2 linked regions of the Caenorhabditis elegans genome follow. The protein of the gene in region 1 interacts with the protein of each later gene in a pairwise test. Each region holds a gene or a part of one and is shown on either strand. Other genes may lie near its edges.

Region 1 (8,642 bases):
TCAACAGTCCATTTGATCTATTTTTAAATAGAATAATTGTTCTCTATGATATATATTTTTACTGTTTCAAAACTTTAGCATAATTTGAACAGAAAATTGTTTTTTATTGACTGAATTTTTTTGATAGTTTGTTCCAGTGAAGCCAAACCCAATATAACTCGCACTGTAGACATTCTCATCATTATTGCATAACTTTGTGTCATATTATTTCTGCAGTTACATATAAAGTGACGTGGTGCAAATTATTTTTTTCATGGCATTTTCAGCACAAATAACATCTCTCCAAAAAATCGTATTCTGACTGGCAAGGGAGAAGTTTATCTTCAATATCGGATCATGTAGTGTCTCACAAACATGTCTCCTCTCTTATTCTTCCATTGTTCCGATCTAAAGATTCAACGATTATTTCATTTTCGAGATACCTCGGAAGACTAAAGTGTTTTCTGGGAATATTCGTTAGGGTGTCTCCACCAATTTCCTAAAGCCTTGAGTTTTTGAATAATATCAGAGAATGAGACAATTTGTCACTGTTTCATTACTTCTTGAAAAAACTAAAGCAGTCGAAATTTATAATGAACGAGCCATGAAAGTGTGAGGTGTCCATAGAAACTTACTTTTCAAAGTTATGCAAAAAATTGTTAAATTTACTGTTTCGACATGTCCAGAAATTCAAAATTAGAAAGAATTCCTATTGAAATCTTGATCGCATGTTTTGAACAAGAAGCTTACATTACCAAAACAGCTATTTTGCTTGGTACTTTTGCCAAAGTTTCAGCTTCTATGGTAGGTAGCACTTGCCTACCTTATGCCTGCCAGTCTCCCATTAACTTCTGAGTTTTAAAGCAATCAAAATGGTTTTTGCATTTATGGTTGGTTTTTTTCAGTCAATCTGCGAAAATTAAAATTATTATCTGAGAATATGGACGTGGATAATTTGTCGGTAGGCATCAGATAGGCACAACGCAGGCATAGCCAAAAACATATTTGTAACGTTACTAAATGCCACTCAATTTTAATAAAATGGGCTCTGAAAGAGGGAAAAATGTACGGCCTGTTTTAAAAAAAAAACAAAGGTTCGCATTTTGGAAATTTTGGTCCAAAGCTGAATTTCTGTTAGGGACATGTTTCTAAATATTTTTCGCATGGTATAAAGTCCAAAATTGAACAGAAACAATTTTCTGGTTATCTCCATTTTTTTTAAATAACCAATTTATTACAGTTTCACACTGGATATTTTTATTTTTAAAAAAAACTGTGACTCTCCAGTGCCCTTTTATTTTCCGCAAACTGTTCTCTGTTCTATCATTTTCATGAAAACATGGCTTTCCAGTATTAACCATCCACCTCAAGATCGTAGACATCGATCCAATGTCGGCGGCAATCTGTTCCAGATCTGACGGCGTCTCTCGTCATTTTTTTATTTTTCAAGGTCTTCGCCTAATTTATCTCGACTCACTGTTCCGCGTTCCAGTGTATCGGTACCAGTACTTTTTTTTTAAATTTTCCTCAGACCAAATAGATCAGTTTTCTGAATAGTTTTTTTTTCTATATTAACATGTTTCACGTAGTCTGTATTGTTTCAGACTGTAGTAAGCTATAATTCGTAAAATTTTTATATTGAAAAATAAATAAGTTTGATGAATGATAGATACCAGCATTTGATAAGCTTCTAGGACAGGGACAAAATTTTAAAACTTGAAATTTGGCCTAACATCCTTTGAATTTGCAAACCGGTATAAGAGAATTTTAGATTTTTTTTTGAGATAGTTTTGAGAATTTCCTAGGTTTCAACTTTTGGGATATTTTGAATCTATTGTTGCAAAACAATGCTGATCCATTATTGCTTTTTTAGTATGTTTTATATAGTCGGTATTATTTGAGATTGTAGAAAAAATCTATAATTTCTTCTTTGTCATTAGGATTAGGCAAAAATACATTGGTCTACATCACAATGAGAGCGAAACAATACAAAATTGAATAACCTAATCAATAGTTTGAAACAGTTGTTTTTTGTTTTCCAATGGAAGGTTTTGGATAACCCTCGAATTAAAAAAACTCTCATTAGAATCAAATTTAAAATGAATACACTTAAAGCAGTCAGAAACCTGTAGGCTCCAATCAAAACCATTAAAACTCCCTAAAAATTGTTAAGATGCTATTTTAAGTTTCCAACCAATGCAAAGATTGAATATGTATGACAACATTGTTCTTGAAAATATGGAAAAAATTTGGTTTCTGGGCACTTTTAAAATTATTGAAACGTTGAGGAAAAACATTGCAAACTTTTTTTGATGTCCTAATGTGATTTGAGCTCCTTCAATGTAAATTTATAAGATTTCACTATAATTGCCGCTGAAACTATATTTTATATGTTTCAAGTGGTGTATAATATTAGAAAATGCTACCATAAACAATACGATCACTGGTTTATTTGTAAACTGATTGAAAAAAGTATAAATTTTGTAACAGACAAAAAGCATGGAAAATTATGAAAAAAAACGTTAAAACCCTTTATAACACAAAAAAATAGGCACCGAATCGTAGAGATTCCGGAATAGCTGAAATTGTCCGTTGTGACTCAGTTTTGCAGCCCTTATTCTGAGTGTGATGCGATACTTGCCAGTTTTAAATAATGAAATAATTCCATATAAAAATTCGCAAAAGTGATATCAAATTTTATTTTAATATTTTCAAAGTAAAAGTTATTCATAAAAGTGTTAGTTTTTCAATTAACAAAAAAAACTGAGCTCTCCATCTTCCGATCTCCTATTCCCAAAAACCATTTCTATCCATCTTCCCCTCCCATTGTTTTCCATTAATTTTGATTCTTTTAACAGATTAATAAACTTCCAGTCATTCAGCTTCCCTTCATCTCATTCTCCGATTCCTTAGATCATTATCATGATCAGCACCGGCCGTCTTGTGTCCAACCGTACCACTCGTCCCTCTCTCTCTCATTTCACAGTTTCCCTCGGGTTTTTCAAATATTGTGTTCAGATGGACATTCTTCTTCTGACTTTAAAATTTTTACTGCTTACGCGTCCGAAGAAAAAAGGAAATTAAAAAGCATCAAAGTAACAGCGTCAAAAACTTGGTTCAATATTTACCTTGAAACTGGAAAATTGATTGTTCCGATTTCTTGGCGGTGCTCTCTTCAACTTTTGTTGATTTCTTTGATCGCTCATTGCTCATGAATCAATCAGGTTAGGTACACAAAATGAATGAGCACTGAAACATTATTATTTCCATCTCGTCATTCGATTTTTCACAGTTTTATATTTTCGGTTCACAGTTCATCAAAACGGATATAGCTTTAGAGAAACATATTTTTTCACTAAAAATTAAAAAATTAAAATCGATGTTTATATTTTTTTATTTCAGAAACAGCTTTTTTTAATTACTGTTTCACAACCACATAAATAATTTTGAAATTTTTCACATCCCAATCTTCATGTTTTTCGGTTTCTAAAATTGTACAACATATAAAATTGTACAACATGCCTGTTAGAAATTTTGATCAAAACTCCCCAAAAAAACATTTTGTGAGACATTTATTAAACTGCGATTTTAACAAAGCAACTTGAATACTAGCAGAAAAATAGGATTATCTCTGAAAAAATTTCCAGCTGTTTTCAATCATATCAATCTTATCGGTTATCGATTCATTTTACGCCCTTCATCCATTTTCGCTTGATTTTTTTTTTGAAAAAAAGTTACTGTTTCAGAAGTCCAATAATTAATTTGATATTTCTCTTTATCCTATTCTTCACTTTTTCTAAAGGTTATGCATCTTTAAATGTATACTCTTGTTTGAGTTTGTGTGCTCTCTTATCATCATGATTATCATCTCTTCTCCTCCTCGTTTTAACCACTTTTTTTGCATATGACTATACCTCATTTTTTCCAGGTATCTATCTCAAATTTCCCATTTTCAAAACGACGTCTTCACTTGTTATGGAACTATTTCGATCGCCGCCACAAACGGCAATGTTTCCTACAACAGCTTCTAGTTCTTTTGTCTCAGCGGCTCTTCATCAACAACAATCATCTCCATCATCAAATCTTCCAGTAATCCCTTCACCAACTGATATGATTACTGTAACATCAACATCACCAATTCCAATCACAACTTCTGCATCACCACCGAATCTTCCAATGTTCTTAAGCTTTCCGAGCACATCAACGACGACAAGTATCCTTATGGATACTGTATTAGCTGCTCAAAAACTGAATCAACAGCAGAATCAGCAAGCATTCAATTTTATGGTTGTGAAGCAGGAAAATGGAGAAACTGGAAGAAATTTTATGACAATGAAGCAAGATGCTCTGCAAGCAATCACTAATACAGTTTCAAGGAATTCACCGCCAAATGTTATTAAGGTGTGTTTATTTTTTAATTAAAAACTTGGTATTTGAAATAAGAAAGCCCAGTCATTTTCTTGAAGTAATGAGTTTTAAACCTACATTTTTTACTGATTCGTAAAGCAGTAAATTTTTGTTCATATCAGCAAGATTTAATAAGTGTTTTTTAATTCTTGTAAGAATGCCTATTGAAATTTTGAATGAGAAATCCTAGCAAATTCATGAAAAAACATCAACAGCTTACCAAAATGCTCGGTTTAAAGCGAACGATAAAACAAAATGTTTTGTTAGTTTTTTTAATTTTTTATTTTGTTTTCATTTATTTCTACTGTTTCATGAAATAGTGAATTGGAAATACTCAATTTTTGTACGCCTGTACATACGCCTACAAAATGTGTTTTTTTCTGTAATTTGAAATTTCGCCATGAAATTTCGTATTTTCCTGACATGTAACCAAACGAGTAAGAAAAATCTTGAAATTTCCGAGTCTGCAAAATTCGGCAATTCCACATGTTCAAGGTTTTCTGAATATCTCGCTGCATGAAAGAAAAATCAGCAATTAACATTTTTCAACTTTTATACTGTTTGTAAAACATTAGATTTTTATTGTTGTGAAAAACTGTTTGGAATTTGATATGTTTTTTTACTGTTTCATAGCCACAATGAAATAGTCAATTTTAGTATTTATTTGCTGACTAACCACGATTCCTCAAAAAATATCAAATTTTCCGAATTTTTACAACCACTGTTTCAATGTTCAATTGTGTTACTTCGCTCTCTCCGATACAATTCCATAACATTTTATCATCATAAACGGCCGTGCAACACAGTAAAAATGGAATGATTTAACGCTCTCTCTCTTCCAAAAGGTTGAAAAGAATGAAAGAGCAGTGACGTACTGAATTTCAAATTCCACTATTTTCTGTCTGCATAAATGATCGATTTTTGTTTGGGGCGAATTCAGATACGGATTCCTGAAGGATCTCCCGTTTTAGGTGCAATGTAATCTAAAAGATCTTCGTGTTTACATGAAGCCTTGTCCCTAATTTCTGGAAAAAATGCCAAAATTTTCAAGATATTTGTACTTGATCATTGTCTTGTGCTCTCTCATTGTGCGCTTCTCCTCGCCAGCTGAATCAACAAATAATATTAATTTCTACATTACAAATTCGACATTAATTTTGACAATTTGAATGACTGTTTTATCTATCACCGCTCAATTTTGTGATCATCTCTTTATGATCAGTATCAATAAAACAAAGTGCCAACCGGAAATATGTGACAGTTCAGTTTCGCGGGTTAGTTCACGTGGTTTTCACGGTTTCGTTGAGTTGTATTTGCACATTGGTACATGAAAGAACATTCCGGAATGCGAAAAAAAGATTGAATGAATGAGTAAGGGGGTCTAGAATAAGTCGATGCCAGGAAACAGTAAAATTTTCAAATTGGTAGTTTAAGAACAAAAGTATAAGCGAATCTTATTTTAAAATCTGTTTTCCTTTTTTACAACAATATTTACTAAAATATTTATAGCTGTTAATAACTCGAAATTAACAATTTCCATAATAAACCATATCTGAAACAGTAGATTTTGTGTACCTCAATAACATTTATTTTTGGAATAGCCAACAGCCTTGCAAATAATTGTTTTTCTTCAATACCCTAACAAAAATAAAAATAATTGAAAAATGTTGAAATAGAAACATGCTTTAGCCTGCTTTAAAATTTATTTCACGATGTGTACCAAATTTTTATAATTTTACAGAATATCACAGTAACTTGTAATAGCAGAAAATTTGTGAAATGTGACTATTACTAAGTTTCCCACTATAGCCGTTCTGTTTGAAATCTGGCAATTTGTTCTTACTTTGACTGAAATTTCTGAAAATTCCAGATTGTTCTGGACTTTTAAAATATGATGCGTGTTCATGTGAAGGTATTATAAATGTATTTATACAAAATGCCTGTTGACGTGACTCCAAATTTAACTAAAAATATCTACTGCACCAAAAAAAATCCAAAAATTTTTCACAAAACTAATCTTATATTAGAAAAACTAAATATAAAACAACCAATATATATATTACAACAGGTCACTGTCTTTTTTAAACATTAAATTAATTTTAAAACGTAGTCTAAATTAGTTCTCTGAAAGTTCAATAGTTCATAAAGTTTCCCTCTATCTTCAATTTCCTTTCTGAAATAGCTTCCTTTTCCCTCAGGGGGTTTAGATGTGGAAATAATCCTTTTCTAAATGTAATGTAGTCCTGACATTAATTATGCCCATTTCCTCTATTCATCCATGAAAAATCTCGTCCCTCGTTCTCCTCTTGTTATGTTTCGAGTGTTGCTAATTTCTCGCCGATTCGGTCGCAATTTTTGAGCGCGGAGGAATTGACCCAATTTACACTAGCTTCATGTTGTTGGGCGAAAAACCGGAAAATGGTTCAGCTGTTGGAAATGCAGAAAATTTGAGGAAATACATTAGATCAAAACACACAGGTTGATAAGGTATTGTTGATCTATTGATGGAAAGAAGAAATCATAAAATTAGAACAGAGATATCGCAATCTCTATGATCTCGCAGAAACGTTTGTGATAATTTTTATAATATTTATATAGTTTTAGACCTTTTTATTTGAATTGTTCCAGTTTTTAATTTAAAAAAACCGTGCATTTGTACAGTTTAAGTTACATTATTCGAAACACTTGGAATTCGAAAAAAAAATCCCGTTTCAAATAGGTGTTTTATTTTCGTTTAAAATTTTGTCTGCGATTTTGTCTTTTTACAAAGTTTATTTCCAAAAAAACAACAATCTTACGTCACGTGCAAAATGAATAGAAATTTGATTAGGTGTGTATAGAAATAATGCAATTCTTAGTTTCCCTAGAGGACAGCTGAAAGTGTGCGATCTCAGTGAACTCGTGTAGTGATAAAAAAATGACACGTGTTTCCTGAATCAAAAACATTCGGGATCAAAAGGATCCATTTATATACTGATAAAACACACACCCAGAGAAACAGCATCACAGTTCATTGTCTGAATCTCTCAGTTTACCACACTATTTCACTCTCCTCTAACTCTTGTGCAAAATGAAATACGCAACAAAATGTAAACTTTAGGGGCGATTCTCTCACACTCTCCGCACTCTCTTAAGAGTGCCCACATTTTCTCGCATTTCTCTGTCGGTCTCTTCATAACATGTACTCTCTTCCAGGTTTCTAGATTTGTCTGCGTCCCAGTATCTCGCTCGCATGCCTGCACTTCTTCGATACCCGCCTTACTCTCCTCTTTCGCTCTCTCGATCATTTTTCGGTCTTCGTATCAAAGGATCGCAAGCACTTTTCAACTTTCCATCTTATGATTCTACTTGGAATTCTTAAACCATGTGTTTTGACCATCCTCTTCTCGTTTCTAGCGTTTTCCGTGAAAACCTTCGAGTTTCCTTGAAAATTTTGCCAATTTTCGGTACATTCTAGTTTAGATAAGGAGCCCCTAGATGGGAGGAAGAATTGCATGGAATCAAAATGATACGAGTGATATTTTGTACGATTTTCGAAATGCTATTCGAACCTGAAACACTTTGTAAATCCAAAATTTTATATCAGAATTTAGTGAAACAGAAAAAAATCGTTCATTTCTAAAGTTCAAATTGCTTCCAATCCTCTTTGTGTCTTCAACCACTGCATGTGGTTGAACAAAAAATGTGTTTTGTTGATCAACGCCGCACACACAGAGTCTCAGAGTGCACGCAACCCATGCTATTTTTTGCAAATATATTTTTTGGGAAGAAAATGTCGCATTGAAACCTTTTGAAACCTATCCCTCTCTCCGCCACGTGTTTTGCTCGCAGAGCTCCTTCTGTGTCTCGAATGTGTGCATTGTGGTATGTGTAGTCTCAGTTTGCTCAGACCGCTCTCAGTCCCTCACAAAAGAGAAAATGAAGACAAATAATATCTATCTATCTCTCTCTGACATTCTCCAATATCTCTTCCTCTCTATTTCTCCGTATCTCTCCACAAAACCGTTGTGCATTCAAAAAGACACTCGCAGAGCAATGTTAAAAGGAAATGTTTCATGTCATGTATAAACTAAACATGTATATATATACATAAGAAGTGATGGCGCGCGAGCGGTGTGAGAATGAACTCGGATATTATTGTATAAGGGGGGGGGGGGGGATTTAGATGATCAAAGAAGTTCAAATATATGGACAAAGGGTGAAAGGGTAAAGACCACACACGCGCGCGCCCCTGAAAAAGTCCAGAAAATAGAGAA
Region 2 (8,686 bases), on another chromosome or scaffold:
CAAAGTGCCGAAAAAAATGTCGCCGTCCATCTAATTTGAATTTCGCACGCAAATGAGCACCCCCTCGCGTGTACTCCTCTCGGACAATCAAATAATTAATTTCTCGATTTTCAGCAATTTTAGATGATTTTTCGTACTTTAATGAGCCTATTCTGGGTTTTTATTAGAAATTAATGTTTAAAGAGACAATAAATCATATTTTGTAAAATATTTAACGTAAAGCAGTTCAAAAAATGGAGTAATAACTGGATAATGCAATAAAATGTGAGTTTTGTCTATTTTTAGGTGTCATTGGGCAATCAATCAGTTTAAATTGTATTCATAGACATTGGCTCGTCGTTAATTCGATTAAAACATCGAAAAAACTATGAAAAATCACGATAAAATACGAAAATTGCCGAAAATCGAGAAATTAATTATTTGATTGTCCGAGAGGAGTACACACGAGGGGGCGCTCATTTGCGCGCGAAATTCAAATTAGATGGACGAAGAGATTTTTTTCGGCACTTTGAAGGCTCATAACTTCCTTTAGCAAAATTTTTGTGATGTTTCGCTTTTACATATCGACTTGTACGAGCATAGTGAATGTTTTTAAGTATAGTCTCAAATTCGACTACACCACCTTTAATAAGTTTTACCGTTTTTTCTCAGTATTGTTTATTGTAAGATATATGTACCAATTACAGGGCGTTTATTGAGTTTTAACGTCTTAAAATGTGAAACATGTGCTAGAATGAAGATTTAATTTGCTACACAGATTTGGAAAACAATACATAATTGCGCTTATAGTCCAAATTATTTTTTCTGAAAATAGTAGAAAAATCGTGATTTTACGCGAAATGTACTCAAAAATCCGAGGTTAATACGATGCTTAATGCAAGAGGACAATAACTTTTCTAAAAGTTTTCAGTTTTCTCATTAAAAAATTTTTAAAAAAGCAGTACACGCACTGTAGTAACAAAAACTATTTTACTAATTTTGGTTCACTCATTATAAGTTTGCAAAATCTGAATTTTCAGGAGACTCTACAAATTAATGATACTTAACAAAGAAGATCCGACAGTAGTTGAAGACTTTATCAATTCGAATATCACATGCTCAAAATTAACCATTTTTCTAATGTATATGTACGAAAAGGAGGCATTTGGATACTCTCTACCAAGGGAGTTTCTGGATTTATTGATTAAGAAATGGAATGTGAAAACTGTGGAGATTGTTCCAAGACAAGACCAACCAATACCTTACTATTTCCATTGTAACACTGATTTTATTGTGCCAAAAGCCAAGTTTTATGTGGATTACTGGACTCAACCAAGGTCAAAATACACATTGGATGGCGTTGAAATTGATCTACAACTCACAAAAGTAGTCGAACAACAAATAAAGAATCGGAAATCACTATTCGATAATTTTATTGCCAACGCTCGCAGAATCTTTCCCAGCAATAAGATCACTGTAAGATTCTCGAAGGAAGTTTGCCAAGAGATGATGAGTCAAGGAAATGTTGAAGATTTTATATCGGGAATAATATTGATGACTCAAAAGGATGCTCAACCTAACTCGCATATATCTCTCAAATTATATCCTGAAGAAGTAGATGCCCCTTTAATTGATTCGTTTCTACGTGAAAATTTCGAGAAGAAATTTGATTCTTGGAACCTCGAAACCGTTTCAGACAGTTCTGCAAATCTCCCAGCAGAAAAATGTTATCAGTTTTTCAACCAGTCAACAAATTGTAAGATTATTTTTTATATTTGTTGCTAATCTCGCATGGATTTAGTAACCATTTTTGACAAATACTCTTTACCACTTCAATACGCTTTAAATAGATAATTATGAAGTAAAAATCTGCTAATGTGAAAACTCAAGTAGTGAAACAGTATTTGACAAAAAAATCATATTACATCCATAAAAATACTACTCATTTCTACTGAATTCTGAGAACGCGTATTGCGCAACGTGTCTAAAGTAAATATCTCGTAGCGAAAACTACAGTAATCCTTGAAATGACTTCTGTAGCGCTGATCCGATTTTGCGTTATTTTTTCTAAATAATGGATAAAAACTTAAAAAAAAACATCTAAACGAACAAATTGGAGGAAAATTAAAAAACGCTATCGCAATTTGAGAATAAATTTGTTTCTAACGGCATTGACATCAGTGCTACAGTAGTCATTAAAAGAATTACTGTAGTTTTCGCTACGAGATATCTTTCACGTCAAATATGATGCGCAATACGCATTCTCAAAGTTTAGTGTTCCCGTAATATTTGTTACTGCCAAGAACCCACCGTGTGTTCAATTATAACCCCAACAATCAACCTAGCTATACTTAACTTCTTCCATAGTTTTTTTCTATTTTCCCTCTTTTATTGGCACCCCACTCCTTTTTTACATTATGTGTAATCTCTATAATATTATATTTCCTTGTTTTTTTTGCCTTTTCCTGTTTTAATGAACTCTTCAATATTAGTTACAAAAGTAGTAAAAACTAAAAATGTTTGCAGAATATTTCAAAGCAACGGGGAAACAGTGAAAGTTTTTCTTGTTGGTTTTATGGGCCACTAGAGGTATTTAAGCATTTTGTACTAAAAAATTTCATTAAAAATTTCATTAAAAATCCAGAAATTTATCGAAAATATGCAAGATCAAATTGAATGACAACCGATTAAAAGGAATGAAGTATATTGGTAATCTTGAAGTGGTAGGGACTCATGTCAATAATAAATTCATTAACTGTTTCCTTAAGTGTCATTGTGAATGTTTCAGCAGAGTGATTGGAAAAGTCAGGTTTGAAAATTGTAGCGATTTCTTGAATGTTTAAGAATGGGAGATGGATGTAACAGTGCAAAAAATTGGACGATTTGACGAGCACCTGAAAATTTATTTTACAACTAAATTATATTGGAGATAGACTAGTTGGGCCAAAATCCATAATTTTTTTAAAAATAAAATTTTTCCAGCCGCCTGAGGATTTGTTTAACTGTCAGCTCTCTTTAAAGTGTTTTATAGATTTTATTTTTAAGGGGTTGCAATCTAAAATTGTTCTGTTGCACTGTTTTGCAAAACTTTTAGAATAGTTAGTTGAATAAATTGTTTAGAAAAATAGCTTGAAATCTTAATTTTTTTGAATACGACAATCATAATGTTCTATTTTCTTTTGTTAATTTTTTGAATATTTTTGAAACAATGTTTTTTTGATTTTACGGAAAGTCGATTAATCATAAAAAGGTGGGCAGCAAAATTTCCGGCAAATCGGCAAATTGCCGGAATTGAAAACCTATGGCAAATTGGCGAACCGGCAAGATGCCGATTTGCCGTAAGTTTTCAATTCCGGCAAGTTGCCGATTTGTCGGAAAACGGTAATTGCAAAAATTTTTGGCTTTTTTATTGGAAATTTCAGAATTTCAATTTTAACCGGCAAAATTGTACAGATCCGATAAATTTTTCTACATATATTTTGAAAACTAAGCAAAAAATTTCAAAAAGGCACAGTTTTAAGTGTTTCCGTCTTATAAAACATCCCTCAAAAAACTTCCGGCAAATTAATGTTCGGCAAACCGGCAAATTGCCGATTTGCCGAACGGCTATTTCTGCCCAGGTTTCGGCTACCACTTACATCTCTAACATTGATGGCGTCTTCTGTGGATAATGTATCTAGAGTGATAGTAAACTCTGTGAAATGAAACAAGTGTTGTATAGAATCCACAGAAAATTTCCCTCCATGAGCATTGAGTGACTTTGTCATTTTCCATTGTTCCAGTTGGCAAATTTCATTTAATGAACAAAGCATATTACAGTTTCCCAAGTGAATACTTTCCAGTACTCCAGATTCACATTTCGATATTATTAACATCATTTCTTTGGAAGACAAGCCACGAAGTGACAAGCTAGATACGTGCATCGATAAACCACCCAGAATAGATGAAATGCACAAATTGCGGTTTTCCATGCCAACTTTTTCATCGAGTAAAACCTCCAAAGATTCCAGTGAATATTTGAAAAATCTGATAACTTCCTCCAAATCATCAAAAGCCAACTTGAAACTATTTCCACCTTCCACAAATCGTTGCTCAGTTCCGAACTCCACAATGCAACCATTTTCCACACTTTTATAAACAAGTGCTCCGGCACCTTTCCGATGTGAGCAACTTGCTCCGATAAACAGTTTCGGGACGTCGTTTAGTATTCTGATAGCAATTCTTTTAGAATCCACACTGTTCATACAAATGAAATATCTTAAGAGTTTTGGTGTGGTGGATCTGAAAGTTTTGGAAGTTTTCAGTCAAAAACTAGAAAGTTTTGCGAATACTTTTAACATGCAAAAAATTAATAACCTTGTTAGGGCTTCCATGGTAGGCAGGCCCGGTTTCAGGGCCTGCCTGAAACCTAGCCGGCCTTCCGCCTTCATTTGCATTTTGGCATGAATTTACACATTTAAAAATTTTCCATTTTTGTCACTAAAGAGTTCAAGTATAAGTTCAAGCATAAAGCGCAAATTGAGGCAGGCAGACATTTTAATTCCTACATGGAACCCCTAAACCTTCTCCACCTTTCTCAATTTTTTTGTGAAAATTACTTTAGTTCAGTAAAGTTATATCCTTAAATCATTAACTCACGGATATTGAGTCCCACTTTCCTGATTCCCAGATTGATTGACTGACGTTGATGGCTCCATTTTACTGAAAAAAAAAAGTTTTGTAATTTTGGTAATTTTCCATTTTTAATTTTAAAAAAATAGAAAAAAAGCTCCATGGTCACAAAAAGTGCATGGAATAATCATGACTCGATGCTTATTTATTGCACTCACCGCCTTCGACAAATGTCTGTTTTTCCCTGCGTCTGCTGTGAAAAAGATTATACAATGTTGTGCAACGCTCCACAAGCGCCACTCCCAAGAGAAAGTTCAAGGGATCAAAAGAAGGCCACAAAAATTTAAACATAAATTTTCCCGCCATTTTTGTGTGCAGTAGAGCGATGGGGCAATCTGACACCAAGTGATGGTTTATTAATAGTACAAAACAAAAAAGTCTTTAAAGTTTATTCAATCTACATATTCAACAACATCAAAAGAATATACCACATCGAAGTTGATGTTACAATTAATTGATCGGTTGAAAAAATGAAAGGATTTACCTCTCTCATTTTCAGAAATTTTTGAAACTGATTTTAAGCTCCAGAAACCAAATAACTTAACTAGATTATCACATAAAAACGAAGTAATCAAACGAAAACGTAATTGCTGGGGATATAACTTTAGAGAAATATGTGAATTAGGGTGATCATCGTTTTGAGCCATCAAAATAACTCCTGAAATGAAGTCCTCAACGTTGTCAGGATTCATGAGCACTTTGCAAACTTCCTTCGAGAGTTTCAAAGTGATCTTGTTGGATGGGAATATCGTGCGAACATTTGGAACAAAATTGTTAAATAGTGATCCATGACACTTTTCCATTATTCTTGTGAGTTTTATATTAATTTCCACTACATCCAATGTGTACATTGAACGTTGTTGAGTCCGGTAATCCACATAGAATTTAGCTTTTGGATCAATATAATCAGTATTCTGATAGAAATCGTCGTTCGTCACATTTTTGAACCCAATTTCAACAGTTTTTACATTCCATTTTGTTATTAACATATCCACAAGCTCTCTCGGTAGAGAATGTCCCAATTCCTTCTTTTCGAATATAGATGTTAGAAAAATTGTAAATTTTGAGCAAGTGATGATCGAGTTGATAAAGTTTTCAACTAGCTTCGGATCCTTCTGCTTGTTAAGCCATAATAATACGTAGAGATCTCTGAAATGATTAATTGTGTAATGGGCTCGTTTAAGTGGTGTCAGGCTGTCCCATAACGGTTTGATCTACAAAAAATGGTGGCATTTTTTCCCAAACCATGTAAAGTGGGTTAGGAATTTTGCAACTAAATTCTCGCGATTTTCGTGGACACTCTAACACCACGCGTTTGTTTCGAACGTTGGCTGATAAAAATTTTAAGAGTTTTTCCGTAATTACCGTAAAGTATGTAGTAATTGAAAATCGATCATGCATAATTTTCTCAGCGTCGGAATTTTCAAACGGTTTAGTACTTTGTAAGTGGGTAGTATTACATATGCACGTGGTGTCAAACTGCCCAATTCTGGTGTGATCAACAAAAAATGCGGGAATTTTTTGCAGAAAAAAATGTGACGTCAGCACGCTGTTAACCATACGAAATCTGTTGAGAAGTCTGCGCCTCTTCTCCCGCATTTTTGGTAGATCACACCGAAATTGGGCACTTTAACATCACGTGCCTATGTATATAAGTTTATACGGTTCTCAAAAATTTTAGAAAAATTCTAAAACTCACTCGTCTGTGATCTGTAATGCATCAAAGCTTCGTTTTTGCCCCATTACACTTTGAAATATGTCCAGTTGAATTGGCCCGTATACTTTACAGTTTTGAATCATTTTTCTACATTCGCCACATCCTGCAATGCAGATATTATCAACTCCAATAAATTCTTCGACTCTCTCATCTGAAAGTAAGAATATTAGAAAATTAAGAATGGATCAATAGAACTCACAATCTGAATCTGTAAATAAGTCATTGAGAGCCAAATGAATAATTTCTCTATCAATACAACTGAATTCCAAGTCTTCAATTATTATTTTGAATACCGTTATCTTCATCGTTTGTTTCAAGAACCTGTAATATAAATTTACATACTCATTTTCATAACAAAACTTGCCTCGCATACTTTCGTATGTTCTTAACATTAAGCTCTACCGAATTCAAGTTCACTGTACAATTTGGGCATCTTCTAATAATATCACAACGAGTAGGCTTGTGAAAGATCACTGTTTGATGCTCTATTCGAATCGAATGAATGATTCCAAAATTGAATGCTTTGTTGACCAGCTGCAAAGCTATTTATTATAACTTGAAATATAAATATTGGACGAAAACACTGGGCTCTGGCCTTCCTCATTGCATTTTTCGCGCTCTATTGACAATCGCCCGCCGGACAAGGCGTGGGAAAGTCGTGTACTCCACACGGACAAATACATTCAGTTTTACAAGCCGCGACGCGACACGCAACGCGCCGTAAATCTACCCCAGATATGGTCGAGCCAAAATGGTCTAGTTTGGCACAAACTCTTCCATTTCAATTTATGAGGGAAGCCAGATATCCGTGATATTGGACTAAAATATTTTCTTATCAAAATTTATAAAAATTACTCACACGTGACTTCAACCGATTGTTCATATCTCCTTTCACATATTTCAGAATATTGTCGACGATTCTTTGATTTGTGAACACTTTCATGCTGTTCTGAAAACCATTTCGCATTTTTTTTCAGATTTGGTTTAACTTACAGAAGAATTGTCGCCAACAGGCGTAAATTGGTTTCTATAAATTCTTGACAAACTCATTCCGAACGGCTGAAAATATTGATTGAACTGAATTCACATTATTCATTAAAAAAAATAGGTTAGCCTGTTATGTAGAGAAATTTAGTGAATAAAAAACTGAATATGTATTTATTTAATAGATTTCTCGGCACACAGGAATTAGGAATAACTCCCAAAAAATAGATATTTGGCAGGAGGGCCGAACAGCTGTGTTTTCCGTGACGTCATACAGGTCAATGGACACAGGATGTAGTCATATTACGGGAACACACAATTCTGAGAATGCGCACTGGGGCATTTGATTTGACGCGCAATATCTCTTAGCGAAAACTATTTACAGTAAGAATTTAAATTCTACCGTAGCGGGCTCAATTTTCGAAAATATATTTTCTTATCGAATTTTGAGAGCAGTTTTTCAGTTTTCCATGCTTGATTTTATTATTTTATCTTTAAATAAATTTTTTTCATTGAAAAAACGGGAAAAACACCGGGAGAAATTGATCTGGTGAGAAAATTATAATATTTCTGCTGTTTTCCTGTTGACAACTTTAGAAATGTCAATTAAACAACTATATTTTAAAATAATCATTTATTTTTTTAATTACGTCAACTAGAAAACATTAACTTTTTGCGAAAATTCACTTCTACCACACTCATCATCCCGAAAACAGCGAGGTCTCATGAAATTGCAAGCGCGCTCTACTGCAAGGAAAGGCAGCGCGCGAAGCAAATTTTCAAACAATTTTTTGAACGTTTTACCGCATTTTCTCACTTTCTCGCTTAATTTTGCTATGTTTTTTGCGATTTTTTTGTAATTTTTCTTCGTTTTTCAGATGTCCGACTCGGAAAACCATGCAGAATCGGATGTTAGACGCTCGTCTCGCCGCTGTGGAGTCAGTCAAAAGAAGTCGAAGGAGCTGTCTGCAATTGAGCAGCTGAAATTGGCGCGATCAACAGGAAAAGCCTATCGCCCAGAGGTAGTTTTATAGCAGATTTTTGTTATAAAACGATTTTTTTCATTTAGCTCGACGTGGAGGACGTCTACGACACGGTTGATGATGATGAGTACGAGAAAATCGTTGCAAAACGACAAAAGGACAATTTTATTGTCGATGATGGTATTTTTCTGATTTAAATTGTTAACATTTTTCAAAATATAAATTTTTCAGATGGAATGGGCTACGTAGACAACGGTGTAGACTTTGAAGATGACTACGAAGACGATTATGCGCCCAGTTCTTCGAAAAATTCAAATTCCTCGAAAAAAGGCGAGAAAAAGCCGAAAAAAGA

The links.
Region 2: the proteins of nhr-46 (region 1) and fbxa-128 interact in a two-hybrid assay, tested with the Caenorhabditis elegans proteins (one large-scale study listed by BioGRID).

What each region holds. Positions count from the first base shown.
Region 1 is NC_003282.8:5,753,128-5,761,769, reverse strand, and holds the start of nhr-46 (Nuclear Hormone Receptor family), read left to right. Parts: upstream 1-3,907; 5' UTR 3,908-3,954; coding exon 3,955-4,380; intron 4,381-4,423; exon of another isoform or gene 4,424-4,444; intron 4,445-4,892; exon of another isoform or gene 4,893-4,913; intron 4,914-5,054; exon of another isoform or gene 5,055-5,078; intron 5,079-5,725; exon of another isoform or gene 5,726-5,749; intron 5,750-5,880; exon of another isoform or gene 5,881-5,901; intron 5,902-6,084; exon of another isoform or gene 6,085-6,105; intron 6,106-7,921; exon of another isoform or gene 7,922-7,942; intron 7,943-8,642.
Region 2 is NC_003281.10:11,134,219-11,142,904, forward strand, and holds fbxa-128 (DUF38 domain-containing protein), read right to left. Parts: upstream 4,896-8,686; 5' UTR 4,809-4,895; intron 4,681-4,808; 5' UTR 4,677-4,680; coding exon 4,618-4,676; intron 4,261-4,617; coding exon 3,618-4,260; intron 2,874-3,617; coding exon 2,667-2,873; 3' UTR 2,581-2,666; downstream 1-2,580. Other genes in the region: pha-1 (F-box domain-containing protein), read left to right, coding at 1,020-1,764; Y47D3A.1 (F-box C protein), read right to left, coding at 5,043-5,799, 6,350-6,518, 6,567-6,688, 6,732-6,901, 7,227-7,316, 7,361-7,417; pola-1 (DNA polymerase), read left to right, coding at 8,230-8,373, 8,421-8,514, 8,566-8,686.